Rattus norvegicus: one gene and its partners. The protein of the gene in region 3 purifies or fractionates together with the protein of the main gene of each other region. This does not show direct contact. Links are inferred from orthologs where the notes say so. Each region holds a gene or a part of one and is shown on either strand. Other genes may lie near its edges.

What was found.
Region 1: the proteins of Foxm1 (region 3) and Ccnb1 purify together in Homo sapiens (affinity purification with western blotting; 4 studies listed by BioGRID, with this or other methods). This does not show direct contact. The link is inferred for Rattus norvegicus from reciprocal best matches to the Homo sapiens genes FOXM1 and CCNB1.
Region 2: the proteins of Foxm1 (region 3) and Mybl2 purify together in Homo sapiens (affinity purification with western blotting; 3 studies listed by BioGRID and IntAct, with this or other methods). This does not show direct contact. The link is inferred for Rattus norvegicus from reciprocal best matches to the Homo sapiens genes FOXM1 and MYBL2.

What each region holds. Positions count from the first base shown.
Region 1 is NC_086020.1:33,652,285-33,656,391, forward strand, and holds the start of Ccnb1 (G2/mitotic-specific cyclin-B1), read right to left. Parts: upstream 2,942-4,107; 5' UTR 2,841-2,941; coding exon 2,820-2,840; intron 2,337-2,819; coding exon 2,175-2,336; intron 2,081-2,174; coding exon 1,931-2,080; intron 1-1,930. UniProt on the Homo sapiens protein: Essential for the control of the cell cycle at the G2/M (mitosis) transition.
Region 2 is NC_086021.1:172,134,766-172,138,408, reverse strand, and holds part of Mybl2 (myb-related protein B), read right to left. Parts: intron 628-3,643; coding exon 468-627; intron 1-467. UniProt on the Homo sapiens protein: Transcription factor involved in the regulation of cell survival, proliferation, and differentiation. Transactivates the expression of the CLU gene.
Region 3 is NC_086022.1:163,324,301-163,328,529, reverse strand, and holds the start of Foxm1 (forkhead box protein M1), read right to left. Parts: upstream 2,903-4,229; 5' UTR 2,741-2,902; intron 700-2,740; 5' UTR 656-699; coding exon 151-655; intron 1-150. UniProt on the Homo sapiens protein: Transcription factor regulating the expression of cell cycle genes essential for DNA replication and mitosis. Plays a role in the control of cell proliferation. Also plays a role in DNA break repair, participating in the DNA damage checkpoint response.

The DNA of each region.
Region 1 (4,107 bases), on a different chromosome or scaffold from region 3:
AGAGGTTAAGAGCACTGATTGCTCTTCCAGAGGTCCTGAGTTCAATTCCCAGCAACCACATGGTGGCTCACAACCGTCTGTAACGGGATTCAATGTCCTCTTCTGGTGTGTTTGAAGACAGCTGCAGTGTACTCACATACATAAATCTTTAAAAAAAACAAACAATTCTAACAATCAGAAAACAGTTCTAACAATCAGAGCCAGGCATGGTTAATATAAGCTTTGATCCCAGCACCTGGAAGGCAGGTCTCTGAGTTGAAGCCAGCCTGGTCTCCATAGCAAACTGCAAGCCAGCAAGATCTGGTCTCATAAAAAAATAAGCCCCAATTTAGATTCAGGTAGTTTAAAGTACGAAGAAGTGGGCTGGCAAGACGGGTAAAGGTACCTGTTGCTAAGCCTAACAACTGAGTTCAACCCCCAGGAGATCCACATGGTGGAAGAACTGACTCAAAAGCTGTCTTCTAAGGGGTTGGGGATTTAGCTCAGTGGTAGAGTGCTTGCCTAGGAAGCGCAAGGCCCTGGGTTCGGTCCCCAGCTCCGAAGGGGGAAAAAAAAAAAGCTGTCTCTGACTTCTCTGTGTATTCTCACACAAAATACAAGAGAGCATGGGAGCTGGAGAACTGTCTCAGCAGTTAAAGAGCCCTTGATACTCCATGAGGACCAGAATTCAGATCCTAGCATCCACACTGGGTGGCTCACAAATGCTTGTTACTCCAGCTCCAAAGGAGTCTCTCTTCAGATACATACGATTGGGCACACACAGGACTCTATAGATACTAACATGTAAGGCAAGTCAAAGGAAACGAGCAGGTAAGTGATAATAAAGCCATTTATTCATCAGCATCATGTGAGGTCAATTCAAAAGAATGCCAAGCCTTCAATTATCAATTAATCAATTATTCAGGTGAATACAAGTTCTTGATTACAAACCCAGAGAGCCCTAGCTAGCCTTGAGCATTCAACCCTCCTGCCTTAGAGGAAGTACTAAAATCACAAACATGCACCATCACACCTAGTAGTAAAATCTGGCGGTGTGTGTGTGTGGTTTTAGTACTCAAGGACTGAACCCAGAGCATCCCTATGCTAAACACAATCTAACAGGCTACGAACTCAGGTAAACTTCCATTTGGGGCTTAAATGTTAACCCATCAACATTAATCCATCATCTTTTTTTTTTTTAAAGATTTATTTATTTATTATATATAAGTACACTGTAGCTGTCTTCAGACACACCAGAAGAGGGCATCAGATCCCATTACAGATGGTTGTGAGCCACCATGTGGTTGCTGGGATTTGAACTCAGGACCTTTGGAAGAGCAGTCAGTGCTCTTAACCTCTGAGCCATCTCTCCAGCCCTATTTTTTTTTTTTAAACGGTTTCACTAGATGCAGCTCTGTCTGGACTGGATCTTACTATATACACAGCCCGCCTTGAACTTAGAGGCCCACCTGCCTCTAGGCCAGAATGCTGGGATTGGAAGATGTGTTACCAAGGACCCTATTTAATTAATCTTATTTCTGTCTGAGATTTTTTTTTCCTTTTAAAGAAACCAATTAAAAGATCTAGCCTGAATATATCACCCCAGCATTGGAGAGGTGGGAATCTCAAACTCAAGGACAGCGGAAGCTATACAGTTACACAAAAAAGAAAATGATTATGCCACCTCTGGATCCCAGGCCTCGAGGGGCAGGCAAACCTCTATGTTCCAGGCCAGCCAGGAGCACACAGTGAGACTGTCTACATAAAACAAGAGCCCTACCATATTTATCTGCCACCATCTGAAGCAGAGTGCTAATACTTACCCTAGAGCTGTTAGTGCACGTAAAATGCACTAACCACTCAATAAACAATATATTTAAATGCCGTCGTGTGCATCAACATGAAATGAAGTCAGAGAGGAGGAATACACTTTTTAAAATGCTAAGTTTACCAAAATAGGCTCAGGAGAGTGTTTCACTTCCATAACAGGTTCAGGCTCAGGCTCATCCAGTTCCACCTCTGGTTCGCACACTGGCACCTTGTCCACAGGTTTTGGTAGGGCTTTAACAGTAACTGTTCCAGAACCTAACTTTTTTGTTTCCTGTGGATGAAAGTGAAAGAACAGAATGTTTTTCCAACGGTGACACCTAGAAGATGGGCTTTTTCAGGATAACTGGACCAGGAAGATAAGTTACCTTTTTGAGGGGTATTCTTGACTGTTCGCTGACTTTATTACCAATGTCTCCAAGAGCAGTTCTCGATCTCAGCAGGGGTTTGGAGGCAGCAACTGCCACAGGCACACGCTTGGCGCCTGCCATGCTGACCTTGGCCTTATTTTCTGTGTTAATTTTCGTGTTCTGAAAGAAGTAAGAACCACTTGAGAGAGGATCCATGGCGGCTCCAGGAAGTCATGGGTTAATTAAGGCGGGACCCCACTATGGAAAGCAAGGGCTCTAGGATCTATCCTCCAGCCCTGACAAGCAGGTTTCCACCCAAAACGTTCACCTATTATCCAATTTCCCTTTAAGTCCCAAGCAATCCTAAACACGGTGAAATTTACATCGGAAAGGTAATCATGAAAGCCTCCTTGTAGACAGCTCTCTGGGAAGACTCTGGGCAGACAGACTCTGGGAAGATTCACTCTGGGCCTTCATCATTAAAAGCACACCACCCTACTCCCTCTAAGTCCTTCAGCCCAGATATGTCCCGAAGTCTTTTTTCACCCTCCAGGGAGGGTCCTTAGCTCCTCCATTGGCCGGAACCTTCCGGGCATCCCCTTCCCCTCCTGGCCGCCGCGGCCTTCTCCCACAGCGAGGACCGCAGCGCCCGGCCCGACTCACCCTAGTGACCCTGAGCGCCATGGCTCCTCCTGAAGCAGAGGTTCGCCGATCTGAGAAGACACCCTAACCTCTGGCTGCCCACACCTAAACACTAACAGCCGTTCCCCCACAGCACGCCGGGAGGAGTCTGCCGGGCCTGGGTTTAAACCCCGGGCCGCTCCCTCCTCATTGGTCAGTTCATGGCACTCGCTCTCTTCCCATTGGTGCTGCGGGTTCCCGTAGAATGCGTTTCCTGGGCGATCCCGCGATCCCAAGTTCGGCGAGGGGTGGGGCCAGAGCGAGGCTGTAGCTGGCAGCACCGCCCACCCCTCGTGAGGTCAAGCTCTGCGCCTGCGCACTCGCCTCTTTGCTGCCACCTGCTTTAGGTAGGCTTGGCCGGCAATGCCCACTTGTGTGCTGTCCAAGGCAACTCCGTTGGACCTTAGGAAAATGACTGTGGGGCCGCCACGTTTCTGGAGCACGCATAACAGTTTTGCTGTCCTATTTATTGTTTCTCTTTTTAAAAATAGATTTATTTATTTAGTATATATAAGTACACTGTAGCTGTCTTCAGACACACCAGAAGAGGGCATCTGATCCCATTACAGACGGTTATGAATGAGCCACCATGTGGTTGCTGGGATTTGAACAGGATCTCTGGAAGAGCAGTCAGTGCTCTTAACCGCTGAGCCATCTCTCCAGCCCCTACTTACTGTTTCTCATCCTCATCTACAGAAGTGCCAGTACTATCTTAAGAGTTCGCGAAAGCTTTGAAGCAGAGACAGTCTTTAGTATGATTGTTCCGACCGCTGCCTGGGATGGATTTTGAGGTTTATAGCATGAAGTTATAGCCTAAGCAAATAGATTAACATACCAATCGCCCCAATAGCTACTGCCCCAGGGACAAAAGAAAATGTGCCACATGCTTAATTTCGCTCCTGTTTAAGATTACTTCAAAAATACAGTTTTGTAGAATCTATTCTATTTAACAAGAATCCATAATGCAGCACTCCATCCTTCTACCTCAGACACCTTATTAAGGCTAAATAACTTCAGTGAAATCTTTTTCCACATTAAATTTCAGTAACATCAATGAGGATTTATTTATTTGTTGACCAGGATCTCTTGTAGCACAGGTTGTTGGCATTCCTTCTATGCTCTGCCCAACAGTTACCTAGCAACAGCCAGATAGGCCAGTTTGCTATAAAAAAAGAACTGCTTCTCTCCTCCTCTCCTTTCCCTTCCCCTCCCTTCCCCCTTCTCTCTGTCCTCTGTCCCCTCTCTTTCTCTGTCTCTATTCCTTTCTCAA
Region 2 (3,643 bases), on a different chromosome or scaffold from region 3:
GTTTGAGGCCAGCATGGCCTGTACAGCACATTCCAGGACAGAGCCACACAGAAAGAGAGCCTGTCTCACAAGATGCACCCCTCCCCCATCCCCCCCCCCAAAAGAAAGAAAGAAAAAAACATATAAGTCACCATGACGAGTTGTCCTCTGACCTCCACACGGGCAGATTGACGGGAAGACAGTCACTGAGAGGACAGAGCCTTAGGACCTCTCCCCAGTGTTACCCATCATCCTCAGTGTTACCCATCATACCACTGCTCTCCCCTCCTGAATGAGAACTAGGGCTAGCTGGTCTGTCACAAGCAAAGCTCTAGAAACATGCTGGCCACACTCAGATCCTAGGCAGAAAATGGGTGAGTGGCTCTGGGGAAGTTCTTGGGGAGATTGGGTCAGATGACCAGGAAATAAAGCAAACCAACCAGCCTGGAACCGAGCCCAGAGAACGAGCCCCAAGGCTGCCCACTCACCGGGCCTTCCACAGGCTGGACATTCTGTTGGTAATCCTTGTCCTCGAGCTCCAAGAGCAAGTAGACAGGCTTGCAGTCTCTGGACTCGTTTGGGAACCCTCCCGTGTCGACTTTCCTTTTGATGGTGGAATTCCAGTGATTCTTCACAGCATTGTCTGTCCTGAGGAAGAAAAAAATCCAGGGCCTCTGACATGCAGCTCTCAGCGGCTGCAGCTTATCCACACATCTGTAAGTGAAGTGTTGCAACCAAGGTGACTGCAGAGGGAGGTGAGGCTACTGCACGATCGAGGCCAATCAAGCCCCACAGAGGAGTTCCGAGTTCCCAACCGAGAATCAAGGGAGGCCCCCAAAGATAATATGCATGGGTTTACCCCGAGAAAAGAGCCAGCTCAGACTCAGGTGACACTTGGCACCTGCCTTCCTCTCTATTCTCCCAGGATCACACTGCAACAACAAAGGAAGACTGGAAACAAAGCCAGAGAGCAAAGGTGTAGCAACAGGAAGGGCCCTGGGAAGAAGTGGCAGCAGGTGAGCTTGTGGAAGTTACCAGAAGATGGAAAGCGGACAACAGCCAGCCCAGGAGACTAGGAGTTCAAACCAAATTGACCTTACAGGAGGATTCGAGTCAGAACCAATTCATTCCTAGGCTCCTCCCAGAACTGCAGGAGCCCCAGGACTGGAGTGAGGAACCCAGGTTAAGTAAGCACAACAGCTGTCCAACCTCCAAGGCAGGAGGTTTCCTCTTTAGAGAGAAATAACCCAGCAACTGTGGCCACAACACACAGGTCAGAAACTGGGGTTCCATGGAAATCTGTACCCTGGAGGTGAGGTCCCCATACCCCATCTACGTACCCTGGGGGCCCAGGCAACAATGTTCTTAAAGGAATTACCTGCCTCTGGGGAAATGATTAACTCCAGAGGAAAGGTCCTTGGAATGTCCTCCCAAAGGGCCTGTGGACACCAAACACTGCAGTAAAGGCCATCAGCAGATAAGCAGTAAAGGCATTCACAGATAAGCTCAACCACAGTCACTGACTGCTTCTTAACTGCACTGGGGCGTCCACAGACCAGCATCCCTTCACAGCAAACCTCCCCCGTTAACCAATACGGATGGGTCAGCAAAGAGAGAGAAACACACGGCCAGTGATTCTCAAATTTCCTAACGCTGTGGTGACCCCAACCATAAAGTCACTCCCACTGCTACTTCCTAACCGTACTTTTGCTTCCGTTGTAAACTGTAAATACCTGTGTTTGTCATTTGACCGTCAAAAGGGGTCACCACCAGAGGTCGTGAACCACTACACCAGACAGACAGACAGACAGACAGACAGACCGACAGACAGGCACAGAAGGTGTTTTGGTCATTTTAGCAGCTGCAAACATACATTAGGAACTTGGTCCAAAAAGGAGAATTTAGAAAACAAAAACTTCTCAGCCAAAGTAATTTCCAAAGGATTGGAAGGTTAAAACAAATAAAAAAAAATAAGAAATGTCCCAGGACGCGTGAAACCAAAGAGAGAAGGAAAAGATGAAGGCATCATAATGCTCTCAATATTCTGAACAAAAGTTATTTTTAAGCTCTGTACCTACTCAACTCATCTATTAAGTGGGAGATAGAATTGAGGACAGAGCTCAGGATGCTAATGAAGGGTGTGCTCCACTAAAACAAGGAAGTAAACAACAGAAAAGGAGGGTTCATTCTAACAGTGAGAGGTCAAAGACAAGCAACTTAACAGGGCGGCAGTCACAGCACAGAGGAACCGGGCTCCACCTGCATACTTTATCTAGGGACTAAAGACGTGCCTGTGTCTGAGGCTGAAGAGGACAAAGGATCCCTGAAGTGAGTTACAGAGGGCTGCTAGGCACCACGTGGCTGCTGGGAACTGATCCCAGGTCCTCCGCAGAGCAGCAAGATATGCTGAGCCATCTCTCCAACCCTGTTTCCCTCCCTCCCATCCTCTGTTTTTCAAGAGGGTTTCTCTGTGTTGCCCTGGCTACCTGGGAACTCTGTAGACCAGGCTGGTCTTGAACTCACAGGCATCCATTAGCCTCTGCCTCCCAAGTGCCTGTATTAAAGGTGTGTGCCACCACTGCCCAGCTCTTACCTTTCTTAATAAGCTACTTCTGTTCCACAACTAACTTAAAAAGGCATGGCTTTCTCTCCATCTCCTGGTGGGTGCTGGAACTTACACTTACCCGGAACTATGTCTTTCTCTTAAACTTTTAATAAAATTGTCTTTATTAAAACAAACAAACAAACAAACAGTGGAGGGGGAAACACTTAGAACAAAAGCCAGAGAATAAGGAAATATACTCATAGACAGTACTAGCAGATTAGTTCTATGTCTGAGGCATCATAGTGTAACTTCTGTTGTCCTAACTACTAAGATCCCCTGCCTCTGCTTCCTAGGTGCTGGGGGAAGGGCGTGCATCACCAGCACCTGGACCAACATCTACTTCACTTTAATTAATAACTTGGAGTCAGCTGGGAGGCGGGGGTGCACACCTTTAATCCCAGCACTTGAGAGGCAGAGGCAGAGGCAGGCGGATTTCTGTGAGATCAAGGCCAGTTTATATAGGCAGAGTTCCGGGATAGCTAGGGCTATGGAAGGCCCCTGTCTCCAAAAGAGCATGCAAGTAAGCTCGGAACCAGCCAGCAAGCAGGGTTGCCCCTTGGTTCTGGTTTCAAGTTCTTGCTTTATCCCTCGATGATTAACGGTGACCTGGAAGTGCAAGCCAAGTCAACCCTTCTCTCTCCAACTTGCTTTAGGTGAAGTGTTTTATATCACTGCAACAGAAAGGAAACTAGGATAGGATATACTGTAGGCAATGGGGTGGGAGGGAGGGTCAGAGTCGCAGGGAGTTAAATCCTCCATGGCTGAAAACCAGGATGGAAACCATCACAGTGGATGAGGAGACAGACAGCCCAGCAGCAGTTAACAGCATTCCCTCTTCCAGAAGATCTTGATTTGATCCCAGCACCCACAGACCAGCTCACAACTGGCCTCCTCAGGCACCAGGCATGCACATGGTACGGACACACAAGTAGGCAAAACACTCACATACATTAAATAGACTGTCCAGGCATGGTGGTACATATCCACATTAGTATCATTTGTGAAGCCAAGGTCACAAGTTCGAGAAGTCAGCCCAGGTTCAACATCTGGGGACAGAAA
Region 3 (4,229 bases):
AGGTGTTTCAATGCTCAAAGAATAAAGGAAGAAAAGGCCTTCTTCTTGGTTCCTCCTAGATTCCTGCCTACCACAGACATCAGTGTGACACACTGAAGACCTTTCCAGTGAGGAGAAAAGCCAACCTCCACACCCTTGCAGACCACATACCACAGCTCTCCTGTCTTTGCCTTGGAAGAGCTCCAGGTGGCTTGGGAACAGGCACACCCTTAGCCCCTGGCTTTGGTCCCAACGTCTCGGTGATCAGTTCTGTTCTCTTGGAATCAGTGCTGGTTTGGGCTTGAGATTGAGGATCAGGAGGATGAGATGAGGCCCCACCAGAGCTGATGAGGATGAACTTGTTGGGCCCACTGCTGCCACTCTCTTTCCCTTTGGCAGTCAGCGCTGTGATGATGCTCTGGATGTCCGCGTTGTTGGGGATAGCCACCACTTGTGTGTTGGGCATGGTTGGGTGGTTGATAATCTTGATTCCAGCTGGAAATTTGCAAGAGCTGGACTCTGCCACATCTTGGGAGGCCTGTGCTTGAGTAGGCTCCTGCTGTCCAGGGGATCTCTTTGCTTCTTCCTCTGAGGTTTCACTCGGGGCATTTTGAATAGGAAGGGGCAGCCTCCGTCTCTTGAGAATCAGTGGCCGCCGGGGGCTGGTTCTCATCATGAAGCTGTGCTTTCACTCTCCATCGAGAATCACAAGCTTTGACCCTGCAGAGGGCAAGGAGAAGCTTGCTATCAGATCTGCTGGGCTGAGACAAACTGGAAGTGTTCCTCTGCATGAACAGACAGAAGCAGAAGCTCAAAGGCCCAGGGGAATCCTGCCTGGACCTTTGTCCAACCCTCAGACAATAAGGACAGAAGCTAGGTTTGATGCACACTTGTGATCCCAGCACCTAGAAGGTTTAAGGTCACCCTTAGCCAGAGAGTGAATTCAAGGTCAGCATGGGCCACATGAGACCCTGTCTCAAAAACAAACGAGCAAACAAGAACAAACAAATAAAGCCCTATCACTGACCAAGGAAAGCTGAAAACTGCAGCAAACACTTCAAGATGGGAACATGGGACTGCACTGAAGTGCATGGTCCCCTGTAAGCTTAAGAATGTTTGGCCAGGCTGAGAATGTAGCTTAGTAATAGAGTGCTTGCTTAGCAAGGCCCTAAGTTCAGTTCCCAGTACTACAAAAAGGCAAACAAACTAGAAAGATTTGGGAGGGAGGGGAGGCTGGCAAGATGGCTCAATGACCGAAACCATCAGCTGCTAAGCCTGGCCACCTGCATTCAGTCCCCAGGACCACGATGGTGGGAAGAGAGAATCAGCTCCTGACTGTTACCCTCCAACCTCCATACATGTGCTGTGGCATGTGGGCAACCCTCCTCCCCAACCCCCGCCCCAGTAAAAATGCAAAAACCTCTTTTTGAATGTTTGGCCAGAGGAATACACATCTACAAGAATGTGGAAATACCAGCCACTGTCCACTAGAATGCAGGTCACTCTCGATGACTGTAGGGACGAATGAAAGACTCTACCCAAGCCATAGTCCTAGTGCCCTTTTCTTTCCGTCTCAAATAATGCAGCTGACCTACACGTCTGATTCTCCTGCCTCCACCTGCCAGAATCACAGGTGTGGCTACAATGCCAGGTTTAGGTAGTGGTAGGAATTGAACCTGGAGCTTTGTGAATGCTTGGTAAGCACACTACAATTAAAAACTCCAATCCTCTTGAATTAAAAATAATTTTTTTCAATAGTTGTCAATAACCACTGAGCCATCTCTCCAGTCCCATTCTTTCTTTCAAAATCTGCAAAGCATTTGCACAGTGACATTTTGGTACTTGAGAGTAACTATATTTTAGTTTTATAAGTATAATACTTGATTTTTCTGCTTCTAAAGACTGTAATACAGATCTTCTCCATACCAAAATGTGCTATCATTAATATGCTTAAGGTGGCTTTAATTTTTGAGATAGCGTCTCATGTAGCCCAGGCTGGTTTTGAACCACTGAGCCTTTGGCCCCCAATTTTCTAGGTGCTGAGATTACAGGCATTCACCACTATGCCTGGCTATGCTAAAGTCACTTTGAAATGCTAAGGAAGGAAGTCTTTAGAAAAAGCATTTCATAGGTTTTTATAGATAGATAGAATAATTTATCATTAAATTAAATCCTGCCACTCCATTTTGCAATCCTGCGAGAAAGGGAGAAACAGCCGGCACTTTAGGAAACCTTCCAAAAAGTAATTACACTTTTTTGACATTTGCCAGCTGCTTAGCCTTCTTAGGTCCCTTCCTCCCTGTAGCTTTCTCTCCTTTATACTTCGTTCTCTCGACCTTCAAATCTCAGTTCTCGTTTTGCTTCACACTGCACCCACCCCAATCAAATGGTAGACACCCCCCACCATAGGGTACCTCTCTCTTTGACCAGCCTTTTCCTAACACTCCCAAAATCTTCTAGCGCAAGGCGACTTGCAGAGCCATCCCCAAAGACCCCATTCTCCACACAGAACCGGGAACCTTGCAACGCTCAGCTAGGATCCCACCCTGCAGCTGTGGAGGCGGAGGCAGGGTTGACTGCAAGTGCAGACTCAGAGGGCAGGCCTGTTCCCAGGGTCCCGGGGTGCTCGGAGAACGCGGCGGGAAAGCCGAGGCCGGCGGCTCAGACTTTCTTCCTGGCGGTCCTCAACACCCCCTCGCGCCCCACAGCCCCGGCAGTCCCGACTCCAAGCCCTCCCCGGACCGGGTCGCACCCCACTCACCTCACAGGCCACCGCTGCTCCACGCGGGGCCGAGCCAGGCCAGGGCGGGCGGGTCCCGGCGGGACGGCCGGGGTGGGAACCCGGGGCGGGGTGGGGGGTGAGCCCGGGCCGGGGGTGGGTCCCGCAGCGCCGCTTTCAGTTGTTCCGCTGTTTGAAATTGGCGCCGGCGGAGCGTTGCGGTCACGTGACGGAGCGTCGCCAATCGGCACCGGCTTGTCTCCGGGTTCCGGCCCCGAACGCTCGGCGTCCTGAGGAGCGGCGGCCGCGGCCGGGAGGGCGGGTAAGGGGGCCCCGGAGCTCGAGGGACGGCGGGAGGGACGCGGGGACGCGCGGACCGCGGCCAGCAGCCTGCTCCGCCCCGCCCCGGACCGCCCTGCCTCCGTGGTCGACTTCCTTCCGGGGCAGCGTACGCCACTCCCCCGGTTAGCTACCCACTGGGCTACCTCTGGATCCACCGCGCGGCTCAGCCCTCGTTGCTGCGTGGGGTCCAGCTTGGGTTTCTGTCCCCAGACTTGCGGTTAAGTGCCCTACGCCCCGCCCCTGTCTGTGGCCGCCTCCACCTCGGGCCCAGCCCCGAGGTGTCCGGACGATCTTTTTTCCATACTTTACGAAAGAGTGGAAGGTACAGTGGCAGACCGGGCCGTCCTTCCCCTGGGCTCACCGGTGGTCTGATGGAGAGGGAGCCCAGAATGAGATGAACAGATCGGTAGAATTCTAGCTACAGAGGAACAGGTTAGAGGCCGGTGGGTTTTGTCTGACCCCGGGTATCCCCATGTGTAGAATTCTCGATTCTCGTGTTTCCGCCTTCGGAGTAGCCCGGGTCACTGGCTCGCCCTCCCGCAGCCGCCAGTGATAAATTTGAGTATTTATTTTAACGAGAAAATCTTGACTTAGGGCAGGAAAGCCTTTCTTTTTCCTTTCTTTCTTCCTCTCTTTTTCCTTCCTTCCTTCCTTCCTTCCTTCCTTCCTTCCTTCCTTCCTTCCTTCCTTCCTTCCTTCCTTATGAGCTGAGAACAAGGTGTAAGATCTGTCACCCATTACACAGAAGGGAAGGAAACATTGAAGCAGCTAGATTAAGAAGGGAGATGTTTGGGGCTGGGGATTTAGCTCAGTGGTAGAGCGCTTGCCTAGGAAGCACAAGGCCCTGGGTTCGGTCCCCAGCTCCGAAAAAAAGACCAAAAAAAAAAAAAAAAAGAAGGGAGATGTTTTGACTGGAGGAGGCTAGGCTGGTGAACACAAAGGCTGAAGGTCACAGGGATTTGAACTAAGACTTAGGGGGCGTGGTATGCTATGAGATGGGGAGCAGATAAAGACTGTGTTTGAGAGGTGAACAGGTTAGAGGCTGGTGGGTTTTCACTGACACCAGAATGTGGTGGCTCACGCCTTTAATCCCAGCACCCAGGAGGCAGAAGCAGGCGGATCTCTGTGAATTCCAGGCCAGCCAGGTATTCATAGCCAGCCCCAGGCTAGCCAAGGCTACATAGTAAGA